4 linked regions of the Arabidopsis thaliana genome follow. The protein of the gene in region 4 interacts with the protein of the main gene of each other region in a pairwise test. Each region holds a gene or a part of one and is shown on either strand. Other genes may lie near its edges.

Region 1 (6,107 bases), on a different chromosome or scaffold from region 4:
GTTGATACACTCCTAAGCTTCTCAATTGTACTGGATAAAGCAGCTACTCTTTGATCCAATATATCAACACTACACTCTGTGAAAACATAAAAAAAAAACATTGTAGCAAAGGCAAAATTAAAGAGTATATAGCAAATCAACAACAAGAAAAACCTTCATTGAGTTGTTTTCTGACTAGGGTTTTAAGAGTTTGCTCATTAATGAGCTCAGGAGACGACAAGGTCTCATTAAGTCTCTCTCTGTACTCAGAAACATCTCGTTTCTTCTCCATACTCAATTGAATCAGCAGACACCTTTAGAAAACAAATTAATCCTCAAATCAAAGACCAAAGAGAATCAAAGATTGCCCTGAATTTGTGGAGTCAAGATGAATCATGGGGAAGAAGTGAGAAGAGAACACCTTAAAACGTAAGGCAATTTATAAGAAAGGAAGCTTTTGGTTATAGTTTTGCCAGACAAAACCCAGCTGCTGATGCGTAACCTACGAGACGGGCAAGGAACGTGGAGATGTTTTTCCCGATTAGAAGATACTTTCCCTCATTTTCTCGGGAATATACATATCTGGAGAATGTGAAGAAAAAGTCTCATTACCAATAATAATAAGAATTGGATTTGACAAAGTTTGAGAGTCTGTGTCAGACTTTATTTTAGAGGGACCAGGTCGGTTAACTGTCGTTGTCATGAGATCTTTCCTGTCTGTCTTTTTATCATTCAAACAAAAAAAAATGAATTTATAAAACTTAAACACAAACAAATAAGATCACTTTTGATTTATTTTATTTTTTAAATAAGGATGTGCAGGAATGAGATTTTCTTCTAAAATTGTGGGAGTAAATGAATGAATCTAGGTATGATTGATTTCATCAAAATCAGAAAACTGATTGTTTCTAGAAAAACATGCATTTGGGGTATTTTGAAACCACATGAGTATATGATGAGTTATTATAAACTAGAATTGCGTTGTAAACGAAATAGAACAAATCTTCTTTTGGAAATCCGTATACTTTAGCGTAAGAAAATGGAAGAATTTGATTTGGACTCGTATCTTTGAAGTATATATAATTCAGCATTTACATTATTGAGATTTATCTCTCATATGTTGTTTTTGCTTTTCCTCATTCTATGGACTTAGCTGCAAGTTTTAAATATCTATGGTAATGAACATGGTCCAGCCTATACAGCAACGAATATCTATCACTATTTTTAATATATATACACAATCAAAATTCAAAACCATGAGTTGCTTGCATATCCCTGTGTGGTCAAAGTCAAGACTGAACTATATTAAAGAGAAGTATCTTGCAACTAACACCATAGCTTATTCAAGACACAGCGACATGGAATATTACATTTCTTAGTTGTTTTAAACAGCCATTGGTTTTCACAACACTTAGTTAAAAAGGAAGTAAAAAAAGAGTCTCAGATAGTTTTGATTAAAACATTTTTTAAACTACTGACCGCAGCAACCGCCATTGTTCTGTTGGATTGGCTGACCTTTCATTTGGACAGTTCCAGGACCAGATGTCTTGTTTGCATTCGTTTGGCTTCCCATTCTGCAAAGAAAATGAGTTACGATATGATTAGACTCAATTCTCCATGTTACATAAACTAGACTGAATCAGCAAATGTCGATACAAGATATCAACCATATGGAAAATCTATCAACAGAAGTTAAGTACACAAGCTTGAGGAAGCTACAAGGATACAGCAGTTAGTTTGTTGATTTGCTTTCCATTAGTCATCAAGTCTAGAATAGCACACTTCGGATTTGAAACTTTACATGAATAGTTTATTTCATGAAAACAGTGGAGAATCAAGATGCTTTGCAGCAGAAAAAAACACAGAGAATGATTTGATGTATATAATGGTGATCAAGGAATATAGTAATAGAACAAGTTTACTAAACCTAATCTATGTTAAATCTTCGCAGAAAAAATTATGGCGAAAGATTAAAGATAGTGAACATACTTCTTTTTTATCTCGCCAGCAATAGTTAAGAATGCCTGTTCAACGTTAATAGAATCCTTGGCACTGGTCTCAAGAAAGGGAATTCCAAGCTCATCTGCTAAGGCCTGCAGTGATTTTGAGTAGATGAAATGTAAGAAAACCAATTCACAGTTGTATCAGGAGTAACAGCTGCTGCAAAAATAAGCAATTTCTACTCGGTGGATTCAGATCATCTAGCTTTGGGAATTTGGTCAGAGATCATCTACATTCATAGCCGTAAATTCTGGTATAACAATCTCAATGGTTGTAATATCATCACATGGTTAAAGATATGCGAAACCATGAAATGATCAAATGAGGAAAGGGGAAAGTACCATGCAAAGGATGTTATGCATAAGATAGAAGCAAAATCATAAATGGAAAAATTGCTGGGAACTTAACTAGGGATGTGAGCTTACCCTTCCAGTTTCGGTGGAAACAACTTTGCTTTCAACCATATCATTCTTGTTACCGATTAAAAGCTTGCAAACACTCTCATTGGCATATCTATCGATCTCACTCAACCACTGCTTCACATTGTTGAAGCTTTCCATCTCAGTACAGTCATAAACAATCTGTTGCAATTATCATCATTAAGGTTCATCACTTAAAGGGTGGATTACAACATTAAAATGATTCATATTCCAACATTACAATACCAATCTCAGACTAAACCACTTAAAATGAGAAATGGAAATAGGGACATAACACTAGTCTAGGTAAGCCAAAAAAAAGCAAGTAAGAAAGCGAATATAAAGATTGCTCACAATGATTCCATGAGCTCCTCTGTAATAGCTGCTAGTGATGGTCCTGAAACGCTCCTGTCCAGCAGTATCCCACTAAAAGAGAGCAGCAACAGTAAAATTGAGTAAACACAATCATCCAAAACATATTATATAATTGAAAACTCACAATTTGCAGCTTAATCGTCTTCCCATCCTGCTCAATCGTCCTAATTTTCTGCAAAACCAACCACATTATAAGTAAGTTTGGGATAAAACAATCTCGATCATGTATGTAAACAAGGTCAAAGAATGAACTTACGAAGTCAACACCAATGGTGCTTATGTAGCTGTCAATGTAAGCATCATCCTAGAAATAGCAACAAATCCCAAAATCACGAAACAGTACAAAAGAAGAAACCTAACACGAGCTAATTCTCGACGACGGAATCAATTAAGAATCAAAATCAAGTCAAACTCACAGCGAATCGGAGAAGAAGACACGATTTTCCAACAGAGGAGTCACCGATCAACAAAAGCTTGAACAGATAATCGCTACAACAACAAAAAATCGAAATCGGTGTGAGTAAAATCGAAAACGAAAGAATGGCTCTCAAGGAGGAGAGAAACACTTACTACTCGTTGCTCATGATTTAGCTGAAGACTGCGTTTCCGAGATTTGATTTTCCAAGATGAGAACAACTTTCCGGGAAAAAGCTCTTTTTCTCTATAATATAAGAAACAAAAAAAAAGAGAGGTTTGGGTTTAGGGGGCGTGTCAATCAATTTACATGAACATTGAACCCCACGACTTCTACTGGATTTTTTTGTTCCCAGTTTTTTTAATATTTGTTTAATTCCTTGTTGTTTTTCCCGAGACAATAAAGAAGCTTTGACCTTGTCTCACTGATTTCTTTACGTGTGTGTGTCTTCTTATTTGGGCTTTTTGATAAATGGGCCGAGCTCAAAATCTTGTCTATCTAACTTAACCGTCGTTAACGTCCTGGCCCTGTTATTAAAGGTTTGGATTTTATTACTCATGTATATGTCTCAATTTTTATTTTTATTTTTTTAGAGAAGATAATTTTACATAAATTTGATTTATAATCCGTGATCAAGATGTGAGGAATTAAATATAATGAAGTATTTAAAGCGGATTAAAAAGGTATATTGAAAAAGAAAAGAAAAACTTTGATTGAATATGCATGGATTTTCCAATTTTATATGACAGTATATTTTATCAACAAAATCATTCTCTTTTTCATACTCCATTCATATCATTTTTAATTAAGTCATATTAATCCTACCAAAAGTTACCTTCTAATTTTACGTTTCTTCTAATTTCCTTTTCTGGCAAAAAAGAAGATATTTCCTCAATTTATAATATTTTTTTTCCATCAAACTATTTTTTTTTATATAACCAAAAAAAAAAAGTGTAGTAACGCTAACGTGTTTGCAGCTTGCAACTTGGCTAGCAGATTTAAAATAAGATAAGTTCTAAAAATAAACAAAACATATATAGCCAAAAACACAAAATTAAAAACACGAAGATTTGTTTCACACAATACTTGGAATATCCTAATTATAAATAACTAAAAAGATTGAGAAACGAACACAAATCTCCACCTTATACAAGAATCGTAAAAGAGAAAAAAAAAACAGAGAGAGATCTTCAAAAAGATGGCGATCGTTAGCCCTAATTTCTGTGCACCGTACCCTATCGAGTTGGGAATCGTACGGAAGGTGATGACTTTAACCGATGGTAACTTCGCCGTCACGGACGTTAACGGCAATCTCCTTTTCAAAGTCAAGGAACCTTTGTTTAGCATCAGCGACAAAAGGATTTTATTGGACGCATACGATACTCCAATCTTGACTTTGAGAGAAAATGTAAGTATACGTCTATCAACTACAATTCTTTATAACTTGCATGGAGAGGCACAATTTTTTCATGGTGATACAAAAAAAAAATTTCATTATGCAAATCATATATACACAAACATGCTCTTATAACTTGCATGGAGGTACACTTTTTCAATACGTCTATCAACTAATTGTAAATAATATCAAAATCATCATCACTCATTCGAGTATGTTAAATCGTCATAGATCATCCAATAAAATCTGATCCACAACTTTTTTTTCTTATAACATAAAAATTGTAGAAGGTGAGCTTGCATGATAGGTGGCTAGTATATAGAGGGAAGAGTACAGACCAAAGTGATCTATTATACACATTGAAACGATCTTCAATGATTCAAATAATGAAGCCAAAACTAGACATCTTTTTGGCTCATAATAAAGAAATGAAGATTTGCGACTTCCATGTTAAAGGAAGTTGGATCGACCGGTCTTGTGTCGTCTACGCCGGCAAATCTGATGCCATTGTTGCTCAGGTAATTACACTGATCAAATTGTCTGTAAATTGTATAAACCGGACTAGCTAGTTATATGATCGTGTTAATTGAGTCATTGTTGTTGTTTTGTTGTTTTTTTCAGATGCACAAGAAACATACGGCACAAAGCATATTAATTGGGAAGAGTAATTTTTCGGTTACTGTCTATCCGAATGTTGACTTTGCTTTTATAGTTTCTCTCATTGTAATCCTCGATGACATTAACCGAGAAGATTCAGAAGACTAGATTAAGTTATCAACTAATTTCTTTTTGTGCGTTGCAAATCTAAATAATACTCGAAAACATAGTACAGTATATGTTAATTATTACAATATTTTTAGTGATTTATTTCACCAAGGCCTATCAATTTATATCATTATAATAGTGAAACCGTATTTAAGAAAATGTGCGAAAGACAAATCCAAACTTTTTTGTGGAGGTAGACAAACATCTTCAGGTATCAAAAGTCTCAAAACTTAGTTTTACCATCTCTGAAGTTTCAGCCATTGGAGATTCCTTTAATAGAATCTAAATGGGGGTGGATAAAGAAATGATATGCCAAAGTGATGCGTCAAAAAACATACTCGGATCTAAATATGGCAACATGTTGGGTGATGATGAGGAATTGGAACATTACTTGTCCCCATTTCTTTCCAATGAAATGTGTCTCCTTACAATTAGTAAACTAATTCTATATATCTGGAGCAAGATAGTTCCTCTGCTATGAATATATCATTTAGTTATGTTGGATTTAAACACAAAGGGAATCCAACATAAAGTAACTAAACACATTAACATTCGTTTTGTTCACTGCATCAAACATAATCTTTTCTTATTTTAATTCTTCCAGATCCACCTGCTGCACCTTCTTCGCCTGCAAATCAGAGAAAGCACAAATGTATAAGTTTCTCTATTTAAGTTTTTTGGTATTTCAACTCCATTAAATCTTCCAAATGTTGAAAACCAATAATAAACAATTGATTACCTCATTCTTTTCTTCACG
Region 2 (5,058 bases), on a different chromosome or scaffold from region 4:
TACAAAGTAAATAGAAACTCATGCATACAAGCAGAAACAAAACCAATAAGACAAAGCCATTAAGGCATACATGAATCACACCCATGTGTGCAGTCTTGCCATGTTAATTTGCTCAATCCGGTTAGACTAAGGCTGAGCAATTTCATCCACCATAGCTTTACTATCACCAGCTCTATGCAGACTGTTTATTCATGAAACTGATAAAAATCCGGCTACACTATAGGTTTACTATCACCAGCTCTATGCAGACTGTTTATCCATGAACACAAAAGATTCACTACTTGAGAGAGACATAAGAAACAAAATAAGAGAGCTTGAACAAAGAAAACAATCATGGGACATGACTCATCCAAAACGATCATTTATGGCAAAGTAATCATACTTTGACATAGATTCATTCTACTCAGTAGTGGTGCCTAAGATTTGCTTTGGAGATCAATTAGAAGACCTAGAAAACAACATTTATTTTTTCAAAAGCAGAAACCATATGAAACCAAGAGGACTTTTACAGGTAGCTAACCTCTTCTTGAAACCTCTGGAGCATGAGCCGCTTCTGCTCAAGATCAGTGGCGTAAGGATCTAACTGACCCTGTCCCAGAATCGGTGATGCCCATGTTTGCCCTTTCTCCCTCTTCTGCAGGGTAATGTGCATTATATCATCCTCTGCCAAATCAAACATAACAATCCAGATTAGCAATCAGTGCCAGACTATGAACCTAAAAAAACTATGCCAGTAACTTACATACGCTGATAATATAACCCAAAATATACTGTACATTCCATCATCCCTCCATTAGTCTCAAATTTTCCACATTCCAAACTATATGTCCCACTATTTATACCAAACTCAGATCACATTTCCAGGTTCAGTTTATCCTCTCTAGCAATAGTGAACGGGTCTAAAAACAGAAACCTAACCATCAAAAACAAGCACCCAATACAGACACAAAAACAAAAAATGGAGTACCTAGAGTCCAGAACGAGCAATCAGTCTTCACAGGAGCACTAAGATCGTGCTGAAAATTGACAAAATTTAGACAATTGAATCGAGTTATATATACCACATCGAATAACTCAGATTTATGAGACAAACGGATCAAAAACATTGAAAGATAGCGAAAGAAACTGACATTGAGATAGGGAGGGTTGCCTTTGATGCCAACTTCGATATGTTTCGACTGGATTTTGCAGTGGAATGACTTTGGATGAACATTTGGCGGCAAAGTTATGTACATGTTCACTTCTTCCAGGGTTTGATCCCACTCAAATACCTTTTGACCTATAACCATCGGAAATCGAAGAACATTCAAACCAAATCTCGTGAAATGGAATCAGCTGAAATTAGAGAAATAGAGCGAGGGGATAGAGAAAGCGAGAAACCATTGTGAATGAAATCGTGTCTCTTCTCTGGCGCAAGCTTCTCCGCCATATCTAGGGTTTTCTTCTCCGTTCCCGGCGAAATCGATCACCGTTGATAGTAGTTGTTCTGGTTCCTTTTCAATTCGTCTCAACATTGGAGGACAGGCATTTATGATTCAGTCCTTTCATAATCATGTATTTTCTTTTAGGGTTCTTAGTTTTAGTTATTTACGCTTAGATCCCTTTTCTTGAGGTACACTCCGTTTCTAACTTGGAAGTCAAAACTCCATGCCGTTTTATTGAAGTTCTTCCAAGTTCCAAGAAACATTTTTTTGTTGTCGCCAAAGTAGAACACTCTTTCACAATTCCACAGAAAATTTAAAGATGAGAAGTGGGTCTATTCAATGCATAGAATACGGAGGAAAACAAAATTGAAAGAAGAGTAATGTGTAGGTCTACCACAAAACATGGTCCATTTTAAAGCCTTAAACGTAGCCAAGTGTGTTAGTTTTTTAGCTTTTCAATGTCCTTTGGGACAAGAGATACACTGTACCCATTTCCCCCTTTCAGTTTCTTCAACGTAGACAGGGTAGTTATTCAATTTTCTCATATTAAAACGTTATACGTGATCAAAGACTTTGACTTATAACAGAAGAATAATTTTGATCAATCAAAAAGTTGTTTGATAATGTAAATTATGGTCTTCCATTTCGCTAATCCAAAAACTTACTTTCTCAATTCCATTGGTCAACTTGTTTCATTTGATGAAATTCGATATGATACATGTTTGGCCACTGCATGAATCGAACGACAGTTAGATCTCAAATCGGTTTGGTTTCGGGTACATGAGTTCTAGTTATGAAAAAACAATCATCACGACTCACGAGTGTATATATAACTAGTTCATTGAATAAGTTGTCGGCTAATATTCGGTTTTGACCGGTGAGACTGTTAACTAAAATGAATACTATTAGAGTAGAGACCCACTTGAAGTGTACTATAATTTTAAAAGCCGGCCAGCAACCACGGGCCAGACTCTGCCTCTCGCAAAATCTTGACCGTCCGATTGAGAACCGGACAAAATGCTGTACACGACGGTTCCTTAAAAAACTATTGTAACAACTGTTGCTTTCGTAACACATTCCAGAACCACAAATTAAATTGATAAACACGTTAACATGAAACCCAAAACACTGTTTGACTTTAGTCTATTTTATCTTAAACAAATGTTGCTTCGTTATGCTACATCGTAGCTGTGTTCAAAGCAACTTGCTTTGGATAATTTATCATAGCCTTTAAAACAGGTAAGCATCGAGTCTTGAAACTATCCTAAAACACGTTGAATCAGTCCCACAAACTTTTTTTGTCTTTACTCTAAGCGTTTATATGAAGCTTTGATCAAAGTCCATAACTCACTAATAATCACAATGGGGTCTGAAAATGGCAGCTTGATGAGAAGAAACGAAGTAGACGAGAATGTAGCGTTAATCTTTGGCGTCACCGGGCTTGTGGGTCGAGAGATTGTTAAGACGCTATTAATGTCTAAACCAGGATGGAGAATCTACGGCGTAGCGCGTAACCCGGAGATCAATTCCATGACGAAGATGTACAACTTCATCTCCTGCGATCTGCTTAACGCATCTGAGACTAAACAGAGGTTGTCTCCATTACAAGACATCGTGAGTCACGTGTTTTGGGTCACGTGGTCTGGTGAGTTTCCATTGGATACCGACGAATGTTGCGTACAGAACAAGACGATGCTGATGAACGCTTTGGACGCGATTCTCCCAAACGCTAAGAGGTTAAAGCATTTCTCGCTTCAAACGGGGATGAAGCATTATGTGTCTTTGGTGGAAGAGACAATGGCTCGTGGAGAAGGTTCGAGTTTGTATTATTACAGCGAGGAGTGTCCAAGAAAGAGCTCTGGGAAGAATTTCTACTATGTTTTGGAGGACTTGCTGAAGGAGAAGATCACTCGTAGTTCCGTTGTTTGGTCGGTTCAAAGACCTGGTTTGCTAATGGGAAGCTCTTCAAGAACTCTGTACAACTTCATGGGAAGTCTTTGTGTTTATGGAGCGATGTGTAAGTATTTGAATCTTCCTTTTGTGTTTGGAGGAACAAGAGAATGTTGGGAAGAGAGTTACATAGATGGCTCTGATTCGAATTTAGTCGCGGAGCAGCATATATTCGCTGCAACAAGTGGGAAAGTACGCGAGAAAGGGGAAGCTTTTAACGCCATTAATGGAGTAGGGTTTACTTGGAAGGAGATTTGGCCGGAAATAGGGAAGAAACTTGGTGTACAAGTTAACGAAACAACCATGTTTGATGAAGGTTTCTGGTTTGGGAGAGAGATGGTTGAGAGAAAACATGTGTGGGATGAGATTGTTGTGAAGGAGAAGCTTGTTAGGACAGAGATTGAGGATTTGGCGAATTGGTATTTCTTGGATGCTCTGTTTAGATGTCCGTTTAAGCTTCTTGGGAAAAGAGAAAAAGTAGATAGGTTTGGGTTTAAGAGGAAATATAGAACCCTAGATTCGGTTTTGTATTGGATTGATGTGATGAGAGATGAAAAACTCATTCCTTTGTAACACATGTTGTACATTAGCAATGTAGATCACGGTATATATGTACTTGATCAATAATCCTCATGTAAGTTTTGTTTGTTTGAATAATGAGCTTTCCACAAATCCTTTTAAGCTAAATCATTAAACATAAATCCTTTGCAGTGAAATGCAATAGCTAAGTTAGATTCCAAGCAGTGGATAACCAAAATTCCAGTCAGGTTTCGTAAACGCGTCCGAACAAATGTGAATGTATTGTGACATATAATAAGATGAAGTAGTGGCAGACCATACTTGAGACAACAACAAGATGATTAGCTGGACTCAGTTTGTTTATCGATGTTATTGCATACGTAGTACAGATGAGTTTTGGCTGTCAAGATGACGTAAGAGTAAAGACATTTCATCCCATGTCTCCACTCTTCACTCAGCGAGATCAAGAATCATTCCAACAAGTAAGAGAAAACAGGGGAGAGTAAAAACTGAAGAGAAGATTCAAGATTGATCCATTCCACATACTTACTACAATTCATACTTAAGAATCACCAAAAAGGATTTCAAGAAAATGCCATACAAAAGCCGATCATGCGCCCCCAAAAGAAAAAAGAAGCAAAATTGCCGCCAAAGGCAAAACAGGGGATGCTACTAAAACAGACTCTGTACAAGAAAACCTACAAAAACAGAGTAAGTTAGTTATACATAACGACCTTCTTCACTCATATTAAGTTTTTGTCTTCTTGGTTGTTTTTGCTTGATACTTATTGACTTTTATGTTTTTGCCTTTAGAGCTAAATATGTCATCTTCATCGTCTTCATCATCGCTGCCACGCTTTTGCTTCTTTCCTTTCTTCTTGCTGTCACCATAACATATGATAATCTTCTTATCCTTCTTCTCCTCAACCATCTCTGTATTATCCTGTGGCCTCCAAATGAACAGCGACCTGCAAAACCGGATTTCGAAACCAAATCCACACCAATGAGAGATCAGTCAATAAGAAAAAGTGTCCACCAACGGTTACTATTGTAGCTGTTGGGTAATGAATCCCGAACCTTGAACTTCCTGAAGCTAAAACATCATCGCGAGGATGCAACTTGTTGACTGGAGTAATAGTTGTGATGTTTGGATCCATAACCTCTG
Region 3 (4,323 bases), on a different chromosome or scaffold from region 4:
TGTTTAGTATTGGAGTCTTAAGGATTACGTTGAATCCGATACCTTTTATTCCTTTAGATTATTCCAGGTTTGGCCAATGTTCATTGGACCATTAAATATATTGACGCATATGTGACATGTCTATTGTTGTATTTAGAGGATAGTTGGCTAAAGGTATATATGCCCATGAACAAACAGAAAACGGTAAACGAGAGTCACTGATGGTTATTCGATCGAACTAGATACCTTTAACAATGGATGATATGGCGTGTTTTGACTACAACTTTAGTAAAGAAAGTAGGAAAATATGTGTGTATAAGTTCAATGTAAGGCTAATTATCTCCGTTGTGGAATGGTCTCTTCAATCGTTATGATAGAAATTGCATCTTGCTTGGAGAGATAACTTGTGGTTTTGCCTTGATGAGGATTCGTCATGTTGACCTAGGACCACTAAAAAATATCGAAGATATTCTCCTTCATATGATAAGAAGGATTCAAGAGATTATGATATATAGTAAAACTTTTATAAACTAATACTGGACAAATAAAAAAAAAATGTTATAAATTATTTATATTTTCTAGTTTCGAGTAGGAGTAATATAAAAACTAATACAATTCGATAAGATAGAAAAATAATTATTTTTTGAAAATTTTAATGTAAATCTAAGTTTCTAATAATATAATAATAATTTTATAAACTGCACATATATAACAAAAATAAATACATGATTTTAGTGTTATTTGTATTTTTTTAAAAAAATTACTGATATTACATACTTTTTGGTGTTATGTTTTCGAATTTTAACATATATTAATTTTATTGAGCAATGTGAGAGATAATATATTTAGTGTATATAAGAGGAAGACAACTAAATAACCAGTTGTTGTGAAAACCTATATAGTTGTGATCCACATGAAAATTCCAATACAAGTCTACGCACAAACCCATCTTTTCTAGTTAACGTAATTAGTTTTCTTTGTTCCTTAACTCACTTGTACTTATGTTATTTTAACAAGTAGATTCATGTAATGAACATTAAAGCATGTAACTTGAGGGTTTTTTTCCCTTGTCTTCATCGTGAAACAACATATCTTAATCCAATCATTTTCGTAAATAGTCTTTTCGTTTTCTCTTTCTATATATATAGTTCAATGAGATATAATATACTTCCTAAATATTCATTTCAAATTTTGTCGATAAATATATATTAAAGTCAATTTATATACCGATCTAATATATATTTCTTATGTAATATGATAAATGATTTATTAACTTAAACAAGAACGCTGACAAAAAAAAAAAAAAACTTAAACAAGAACATTTATTTTCATTAAAAGTCCGTCACACAAATACATGATACATCTTACACATTTATTATATGGGGAGTACATAATCGTTACTTTCTTATTTGAACCGTCAGAATATTTGGGTAGTCTAGAGTCCTCTACTCCCTGTCTTTCTGGCGGCGACGGCGGCCGTTCTCCTTAGCCTTCACTGCTGCTGCACCGCCGTTACGGCTAAGGTTGGTCGGGAGCTTCTTTTTGTGCTCCTCGCAGTCGGTACGAGTGCAGCTCTGGTAACTATCGGGGCATATTCCGATCCCTCTGGCGAACCCATCCACCGTTCCAATAATCGCTCCGGCAATCCCTCCGACAATCCCTCCAATAAGCGTATCAAGCATTTTTATATATTAATTCTGTTGTTTTTCTTTGATATGAATAAGAGCTTACAATCTTTCAGATGTTTGTATATATTTATACAATTCTCGTAGTGTTCACTTAAGTTTGTTTGTTATGGCAATTATTCGTCATATGATATCCATGATATGATAAGAATCTTATTCTTTTTTTTTTACCACCACCATACGTAAAATTGAATAGACATGTTTGTTCTTATTCCGTTCGTCTTAAAAAATTCAACGATCACAAAAATTCGTGAAGTAGATGGAAAGAAAGTGGAAAACAAGATAACTATGGACATACACGACCCGTCTTACTTGTCACTCAAATGGTCCTTCAATCGCTATGATGGAAATTGCATCTAATGCTTGCAAAGTTTGAAGACTCTCCAAGTGGAAGTGGACTTAAAGTTTCCCCTTGTTGAAGATTCAGGTCGTTGTTCTAGGCCAGAAAATAAAGCCTTATAAAAGTGTAATAATCTAACTATTCAACTTAGACTCCATAACGCTGTAAATTGCAAGAAAACATTTCTATTAGTATTAAGTTCAAGAATTAGTCTAGACTTTGGATTTAGGAAGACTCTGATTATTGGAAAAAAAAAAAACATTGCTTGTGTAAGGTTCGTTTGATTTTTGAGATAAAAGTGTAGACAACTCTATCAATGACATTCATGGAATTCTTCAAGAAATTCGACAGCTTCAAGGTTGTTTCCGTTCTATCTCCTTTAGTTATATTTCTCGTCTTTCCAATTCAAAAGGCAGACGCTGTCGCCAAATATGCTATCTGTGTTTGTGTTTCCCTCAAGAACATTGCATAACTGAAAAGGCTAATCGAATCAACAAAAAATCCTATGATCCGTCTAATTTAGTAAATGAATTACTTGTTTGAATCAAATCTATGAGCTTAAAGTTTTGGTCGATAAATGCAAAATAAATTATCTAATTATTTAGATGAACCAGAAACATTAAAACGACATATCCTACTGCACTACGTAACTTATAAATTCATTAGGGTTTTCGTTACACCATAACGTTACTTTTCAAACTTAATTGTGTGCAAATAAATTCAATCTTTTCACGTGTGGAAATAACTGTTAATATACATCACTTTTATTAAACACACTCCTTTTATTAATCATAAAGTTCATAAAATTAAACAAGAAGACTTTTCATTAAAAGTCTCCTATATTTTTGGTAAGATACTGAAACATGTCCATCTTATACATACATCGTATACATTTATTATTTTGGATACATAATCATTACTGGGTGTGGTCAGGAGTCCTTTACTCCCTGTCTTTCTGGCGGCGGCCGCCGGAGTTCTCGGATGCCTTCACTGCACCGCCATTACCATTGCCGTAGTTTCCCGGACTCGTCATATTGTTGTTCTCGAAGCGACCGGTGCTCTGATAATTATTGGGCCATATCCCGACCCCTTTGGCAAACCCATCGACCGTTCCAAGAATCCCTCCGGTAATCCCTCCGGCAACCCCAATAATAAGCTTATCAAGCATTTTTCTTTATATTTATCTACTTGTGTTAGTTTTCTTTGATATGGATAAGTGTTTTAATCTTTCAGATGTTTTCTATATATAGAAAAAATTTCTTGTATATAGTTCCCTTTTTTATGATCTGAATCTTATTCTCTTAGTACCATCACTACCGAAAGTTGAATAGATATGTTTGTTCTAATTCCGTTCGTCGTTTTTAATAATGATCACATGGGAAAGATCCAAACTAAGGAGGTTTCTGTCTACGGACACGTTTTCTTTAAAAAATCAGACCCTATAGACCCTCAAAAATAGATGTTGTATGTGTATCAACTAATGTTTAGTCCAAAAAGGCATGTTTTGACAGCAATACTAGTAACGAACATTAGAAAAGATGTGTGGATAAGTTTAGTGTAAGGCCCATCTCCTTCGTGGAATGGTCTCTTCAATCGTTATGATGGAAATTGCATCTAATGCTTGCAAAGTTTGAAGAGTCTCTCTTAACCAAGTGATAGCGGATTCTCATTGTTGGTCTAGTCCATGAAAAGAATTTCCTTAAACGTGGAATTATCTAACTATCCCGCTTAGCCACTCGTCGACGCTTTCAGTGGCAATAAAACTCATATTAATACTTGGCTCAGGAATTAGTTTGGACTTCGGTCGACAAAGACCTAGTCCCGATTATTAAAAAAAAAACGTTAATGACAGTGTAAAGTTTATTTTAAAAAACAGATTTCTATGAGGTAAAAGAAGAAAATGTTATTCCCTTTGGAGATTATTCGAAATATCATCGTACGATCATATGAATCTTATTCTCTTTTCTACCACGAAAGTTGAATAGTCATGTTTGTTCTAATTCCGTTCGTCTTTTAAATTAAAGATCAGTCCTATTCATATGGGAACATTTCGGAATTGGCTGAGTATTAATGGAAGCATAATAATGAAACTGGAAATTAAACCTAGTCTAGTTCTATTTATTACGGATTTTATTTGATTTTATATTAAATTTGTTTGAGTTAAAATTTTCATTCATTTTTGGATTTCGACGAAGCGTTGTGTAACTTTTTTTTTTTTTTTTTTGTTCTTTGCTAATAGCCACGTAACGTGCATGACATGAGTAAGCCGGCCACGTTAGCGAAAAGTGGGAAGTAACACAAGAAGTCTAAAGACCATGG
Region 4 (5,584 bases):
CTTAGTGGAGAAGATGAGCTTTTGCTTTCAACTAATATTATCTCTCGCTCAAAAGCTTTTGTTTTCAAATAAATATCAGAAACAATACGTGTAATGTAAGGTCAAATGTTCCTGCTCCATTGTTTCCGTATTTTCAGGATTTGGGTTTCCCGCTCACTAAGCATTATACCCCAACATCAAGATAAACAAATAGATCAACAATTATAATATTTTCTTACCACTATCGTACACAAAATAAACAAACAAACACTTGGAGTTTCCATTTTCAAGTGGAAGTTTATTTAGAATGCTTGTCAAAGATCTTCAGCGTGATATACATGTAGAGCCTTTCGTTGTATTTCAATTATGATAAGACTACAAGTGTACAACATTTCTATGGTATATATAGCGTGAGTACGTAGAAACGTCTATCATGAATCTTTGTACATGTAAGACGACCCGTCGTGAAACAACCATGAACCGTTTATGTGCGGCATGGTGTTAGATTTTCGCATCTTGAATGATAAAATTCATTGTTTATCTTGTCATATGACAAAAAGAATTATAATTTTTCCATTGATTTGATTATCGTCGATGTGTAACCACTCAAATTCAGATCTAAATATTATATGTTATTGATAAAAATAATGATCAAGACATAATTATTCATCATTGATAATCTTTAACTAAAGATGGTCCTAAACACACTGCTTTTGACTGATGGTCCCAGTTTAAAGAGCCGAACAATCTTTTATCGGGCTTTACTTGGCCAACCAAAACCTATGTTGCATATACTTTTCTCAGCAGTAATACAGGACAGCAAAATACACACGTCTTATTGATATTGTGATCACTTGATGATCTTAATCGGGACATGATCTAAACGTTTTTTTTTTTTTGCAAAAACAAGACCTAATCAGCTTAAGTATTTGTTACAATGTCTATACCCTAAAGAGTTTCACATTGTCACCTATCAGAACTTCGCTAACACATTTTGGGAAACGAATCAGTCGACACCATCCTGCGTGGGAATTAGGAAACTCATTTTGACATTTTCTTGGTACAATGGATTTTTTCGTTTTGGTTCGGGAATCACCAGCAACTAAAAAAAAAAGAACATCAATTGGGTTCTTCACTAAACATTTCCTTCACGATCATTTATCTTTTCGAGGGATTTCATCAAATCTATGTTAAAGAGTATACCAAAAAACGCTTCGACATCTTTCTTTGTACACCGACAAGTATTGTTCTCTCTCCCAGATTGGCTACGAAAGCTTATCTCCCGAAAACTCTTAGCGCAGATGAGGTGAGAGCAGAACTGAGGAACCTCATGCCTGATGATCCACCAGGGAAGTAGGATATACAGTAGTAAACCAGCGCAAGAACCTGTCCATTAGCACAAAAAGAAACAGATACTGGAGATTATGAGATTCAGCAGAATGCGCGGATTTTGCGAGCAGAAGTTCTCAAAACCTCTACAAGTATATCTTTCATACAGTCCAAATAGATAACGGGTGAAGACCCAGATAAGTATCACCACTTGTTCGAGAGTCTAATGTTTGTTGCTAAACTCTGGAGATTCGAAAGGTTCCATCTCAAGACCGATTCAACAATGAGGTGAGTTACTATATGATCTTAAATACTTTGGTGAGGTCCAATATTGTTTTCCACTTGCTCATAGCAATATCTCATTTTGAAAAACTTAAACTCATAATTAAAGGGAATATCCTAAGAATTGGAAGATGAAATGTTTAGTACCTGTAACACTGAGAAGAGCACCGAGAGAATGTAGCTGTGGAGAACCATTGATACGTATATGGTACCAACCATGGTAGCAATGAAACCTAGGGTTGAAGGAAGCCTCTGGAGAAGTACACAAGATATTCAAAAGAGAGGAAGGAAATCACTCTTGGATTTAAGGCATGACAGACACACAATAGAACAGTGTAACATACCTCCATCGAAGACATGTGTGCGAGCTGATTTTTAGGGCCACGAAGTGCGAAGAAGGATCCAATGATGAATCCACATCCAAGGGTGAAACAAATGGCAAATTTCTGTGGCATAAGCACCATGACTGGAAGAAACATTGTGAAGGCAATGAAGATGAAGAAAACACCACTTGCGAGAAGTAAACCGAAATACATGAGCGCTTTTCCTGAAGGCATACTACTTGTTGCTGACTGCAAGCTCCCTGGAATATCTCTAACTCCTTTTGAAACCCTGTAGTCATCAAATTCAGGTACATTGCAAAAACAACAGAAGAACAAGAATTTTATCAGAGAAACAAAAGAAGATTCCTGAAAACAACTACAAATATAAATAACTCAATAGACTTATTCACTAACTCTAAATCCATTGGTATGCAAAACTCATAAATGCATTTCCCAAACTATCAAATCTCACAATCAACAAAGTAAATCTCAATAGCTCAGATTCACTAACACCCACTTCTCACTACCACTAATAAACCTCATCTTCTTAGATTCAGTCACGGAATAAACATTATGAGATGACTAATTGCAATCTACTTACACACTGAAGGTGCCCGAAACAGTGTCATTGGCAGATCTAACGGCGGATTCGATATCAAAGCCGAAGCTTCCGCCGCTTTCCTCGAAATCTCTAGAGGCTGCGTAAGAATTCCAATCCGCAAGCAGAGACGAACCCGATTGCTGCTGCTGATCTACGGTGCTACTCCCGCCCATCGAAAACCATCCTTGTGACATTTTTTGGGTTTCGGGATCTTCAAGGAAAGCAAACAATGATAGACCAGAACGCCGGCGATCGGATATTTTTCGTTGACGTTTTAAGGTTTTTTGGTAAACGCCGCAGCTAAAGAATTACTTACTCGGGAAGAAGAAGACGGGAGAACCGATGCTGTAACGTCGATAGAAGTCAACGGCGTCGTTTCTTAAGTAACTTAGCTTTACCATTTTTTTCCCCGAGTAAAACGAGTAATTTGGAAACTTCTTGAGTGAATTTAAAAATACTGGTATGGTAATTCCCTTATTAATCCAAGCCTTAAAGCAGAACTCATCAAGATATGTAGTTCCAAGCAGTTGTTGTTACAGATTTACAATAGAAAATAAATAATCTCACAGCCAAAATACTTCATTAACAGTCAGTGACAGGACAAATATCATAATACTTTCAAGAGCTGGATTTCAAAGACCAGAGGCTCGTTCGCATGCGATAGAAGGCTGCGTCGTGGTCCAAACTGCATCCACAAACACATATGAGAGATCATTTGAGACATACGTATGTAGCAAGTTCATTGTGGAAGATGAAGAGTAAAGATCTGACTACCTCCTCGGGGATTGGCTTCAATGTCTCGTTTATGTACCCTACTGATGGAGGTATCAGTGCCCTACGCTTCCCTTCATCCGCAAAAGACCATTATGTGCGAGTCATTAGAAATATGAGATTACATCAAAAGACCAAAATCTTATTTGTTGTTTCAAGTTTTTACCTCCAGCTTTCATGCCCACCAAGACTTCTTTCAAGCCCTCAATTACCTGTCATGCGAAGCAGTTTGTTAGTACAGGCCATGATTGGAACGCTATGTTATATGCAAGGTTGAGTGCAAATCAAAGTACGTCGTTTTCATCGAGAATAAGTTTGACAGGAGAGCTTTCACCACTGAATTGATCCACCGTGCTGAATCAAGAAACTATGAGAGTTAAAAAGAGGATCAGATTTGGATGAAAGAAACTATCAAGGCATCTAAAGTTTTGCATGAAATCTAACCTATGAACGAAATATCCATTTGCACGCCGACACACATAGTTTAGTTCGACCAGGTCCCCTTCATGAGCTTCTCGTCCTTCACCTTCAATTATCTCTAAAACAAGACTTCCATGATTAGCAAATAAAACGAACAATATTACAAGTTTTTGAATGTTATCATCAGAAGGAACAACAGACAGAATTCTAGCGAAAGATTAGTACCTTGATACCTCACGCCACTCGGGAGTTTCAATGTCCTGCATTCTTCGATCGCCAACCAAAAAAACAATTAAAAACTAGGATGAGGAACTAAGTCCATGCAACAAGTAGAACAATCCAATAAGCTCAAAGAAGCTTTCACATATTCCTCACTTCTTTGTGTACATGGCTTATCAATGCAATAAACAAGCACATTAAACAGGAAGCCATAAAATATTGCAATTCATAAACTAGTAAAAGATTATTTGAAAAGCAGACCAGAAATATAATCACAAAATCATTTCAAACATGGACACAACTACAAATTTTCCTCAATGCTAGCATCTACAATTATCATCGACGTTCTAACGCAATTTCCTGAATCAAAATCAAAATGAAAAAGGAGTTTAGATAGCTCAGAGAAGTACCAATTTTACCTGATCACTTCAGGTTCCTTCATCTGAGGAACCGGCGCCGCTAAACTAGGAAAATCCAGAAGCGTCAAGACCGAACCAAATCCAGACAGCTGCATAAACATCCTTCTGGGTACATGTACAGCCGAGACCGAAGAGAATCCAACACGACTAATCCTAGAAACGCTGTTCCTTGATTTTCCCGCGCTGATAAATAAAATAAAAAAGGTTCAATCTCCAGCGACCATACTCTCAAATCGACGGAGATAGAAAATTATGAGATTCCAAAACATACGAATCTACCTTAAGGCCATGGATGATCCAACGAAAGGAAGAGAAATCTCCATAGCCATCGCCATCGCCGTCGTCGTCAACAGTCTTCTTCTTCTTCTTCTATGGATAGTGGATAAGAAAAAGAGTGAGAGATGAGATTAGCTACGGAGCAACCCACCACTAAACTTAGTGGACCTGTGGGACCCACACTGCTTATGAATTTTGTTGTGAAAAAAATACGCGCTACGGTAACGCGTGAGGATCTATTTTTCCTTCTTTTTTTGTTTATTTTGTTTATTTTGTTAAATACATCCGGTTCGATCAAACCGGCGATTTCAATTTTGACTTGAGAATTCAGATTAGAGCATAGCCGATCATTGGTGTTGAGTTCTTCTCTCTTTTTTTTCTAGCAGTTTGCCCTTTCAATGCTCTAGCAGTTTGCTTTTACATGTCTCAAGATTAGTAGTAGATCTACAGATGCGAGGAGAAAATCATCAACGGATTTGTTTTTTTTCCACACAAAGGAACAACAAAATCTTGAAAATGTTGAGAGAGATTGAAAACAAATAAACATGATACATAATCAGAAAACAAACACAATTCCCAAACAGTCTCCTCTGCTAATATGCTATTGTTTTTCTCAGGTATCTTCCACTTGCGAGTGTAACACAAAGCTCGGAAATGTAGTTGTGATATCCCTGCACACAATATCAGATATCATGGTGTTAATAATACGTGATGCAGAAAAATTTGAAGTTGCATTGGCTAAACCTCGGGTTAGTCTTTGGTTTAGGAGCTCACTTGAGATACTGGAGAGTCATGTTCTTCAGAAGAAGAGGATGTCTAAAAACTAGGTCCATCCACTCTTCCTCATCGATCATCCCTTCATGTTTTGTGTCAGCTTGCACAAATGTCTGCCTCATAAACTCAAAAATCACTCTTCACTTCATATTCATCAGCTGCTTAAACTTAGTTGGCTATACTATAGACTA

Evidence for each region.
Region 1: the proteins of AT4G26550 (region 4) and ATFP8 interact in a two-hybrid assay, tested with the Arabidopsis thaliana proteins (one large-scale study listed by BioGRID).
Region 2: the proteins of AT4G26550 (region 4) and AT5G58750 interact in a two-hybrid assay, tested with the Arabidopsis thaliana proteins (one large-scale study listed by BioGRID).
Region 3: the proteins of AT4G26550 (region 4) and AT1G67860 interact in a two-hybrid assay, tested with the Arabidopsis thaliana proteins (one large-scale study listed by BioGRID).

What each region holds. Positions count from the first base shown.
Region 1 is NC_003074.8:3,708,040-3,714,146, forward strand, and holds ATFP8 (Ras-related small GTP-binding family protein), read right to left. Parts: upstream 3,579-6,107; 5' UTR 3,359-3,578; coding exon 3,345-3,358; intron 3,264-3,344; coding exon 3,191-3,263; intron 3,079-3,190; coding exon 3,031-3,078; intron 2,947-3,030; coding exon 2,899-2,946; intron 2,826-2,898; coding exon 2,754-2,825; intron 2,562-2,753; coding exon 2,406-2,561; intron 2,073-2,405; coding exon 1,969-2,072; intron 1,554-1,968; coding exon 1,451-1,553; 3' UTR 1,092-1,450; downstream 1-1,091. Other genes in the region: AT3G11720 (Polyketide cyclase/dehydrase and lipid transport superfamily protein), read right to left, coding at 1-76, 154-293, 463-561, 642-682; AT3G11740 (LURP-one-like protein (DUF567)), read left to right, coding at 4,388-4,597, 4,873-5,103, 5,207-5,350; AT3G11745 (uncharacterized protein), read right to left, coding at 5,937-5,978, 6,090-6,107. UniProt on the Arabidopsis thaliana protein: Protein transport. Regulator of membrane traffic from the Golgi apparatus towards the endoplasmic reticulum (ER).
Region 2 is NC_003076.8:23,726,100-23,731,157, forward strand, and holds AT5G58750 (NAD(P)-binding Rossmann-fold superfamily protein), read left to right. Parts: upstream 1-2,488; 5' UTR 2,489-2,786; coding exon 2,787-3,947; 3' UTR 3,948-4,043; downstream 4,044-5,058. Other genes in the region: AT5G58740 (HSP20-like chaperones superfamily protein), read right to left, coding at 521-663, 968-1,016, 1,131-1,279, 1,381-1,429; DDB2 (damaged DNA binding 2), read right to left, coding at 4,642-4,861, 4,971-5,058.
Region 3 is NC_003070.9:25,443,516-25,447,838, forward strand, and holds AT1G67860 (uncharacterized protein), read right to left. Parts: upstream 1,843-4,323; 5' UTR 1,662-1,842; coding exon 1,425-1,661; 3' UTR 1,237-1,424; downstream 1-1,236. Other genes in the region: AT1G67865 (uncharacterized protein), read right to left, coding at 2,945-3,172.
Region 4 is NC_003075.7:13,401,501-13,407,084, forward strand, and holds AT4G26550 (Got1/Sft2-like vescicle transport protein family), read right to left. Parts: upstream 2,886-5,584; 5' UTR 2,709-2,885; coding exon 2,515-2,708; exon of another isoform or gene 2,339-2,514; coding exon of another isoform or gene 2,328-2,338; intron 2,203-2,327; coding exon 1,935-2,202; intron 1,843-1,934; coding exon 1,738-1,842; intron 1,366-1,737; coding exon 1,255-1,365; 3' UTR 879-1,254; downstream 1-878. Other genes in the region: AT4G26555 (FKBP-like peptidyl-prolyl cis-trans isomerase family protein), read right to left, coding at 3,122-3,199, 3,289-3,359, 3,452-3,497, 3,579-3,639, 3,730-3,823, 3,931-3,965, 4,344-4,526, 4,623-4,678; CBL7 (calcineurin B-like protein 7), read right to left, coding at 5,233-5,290, 5,394-5,506.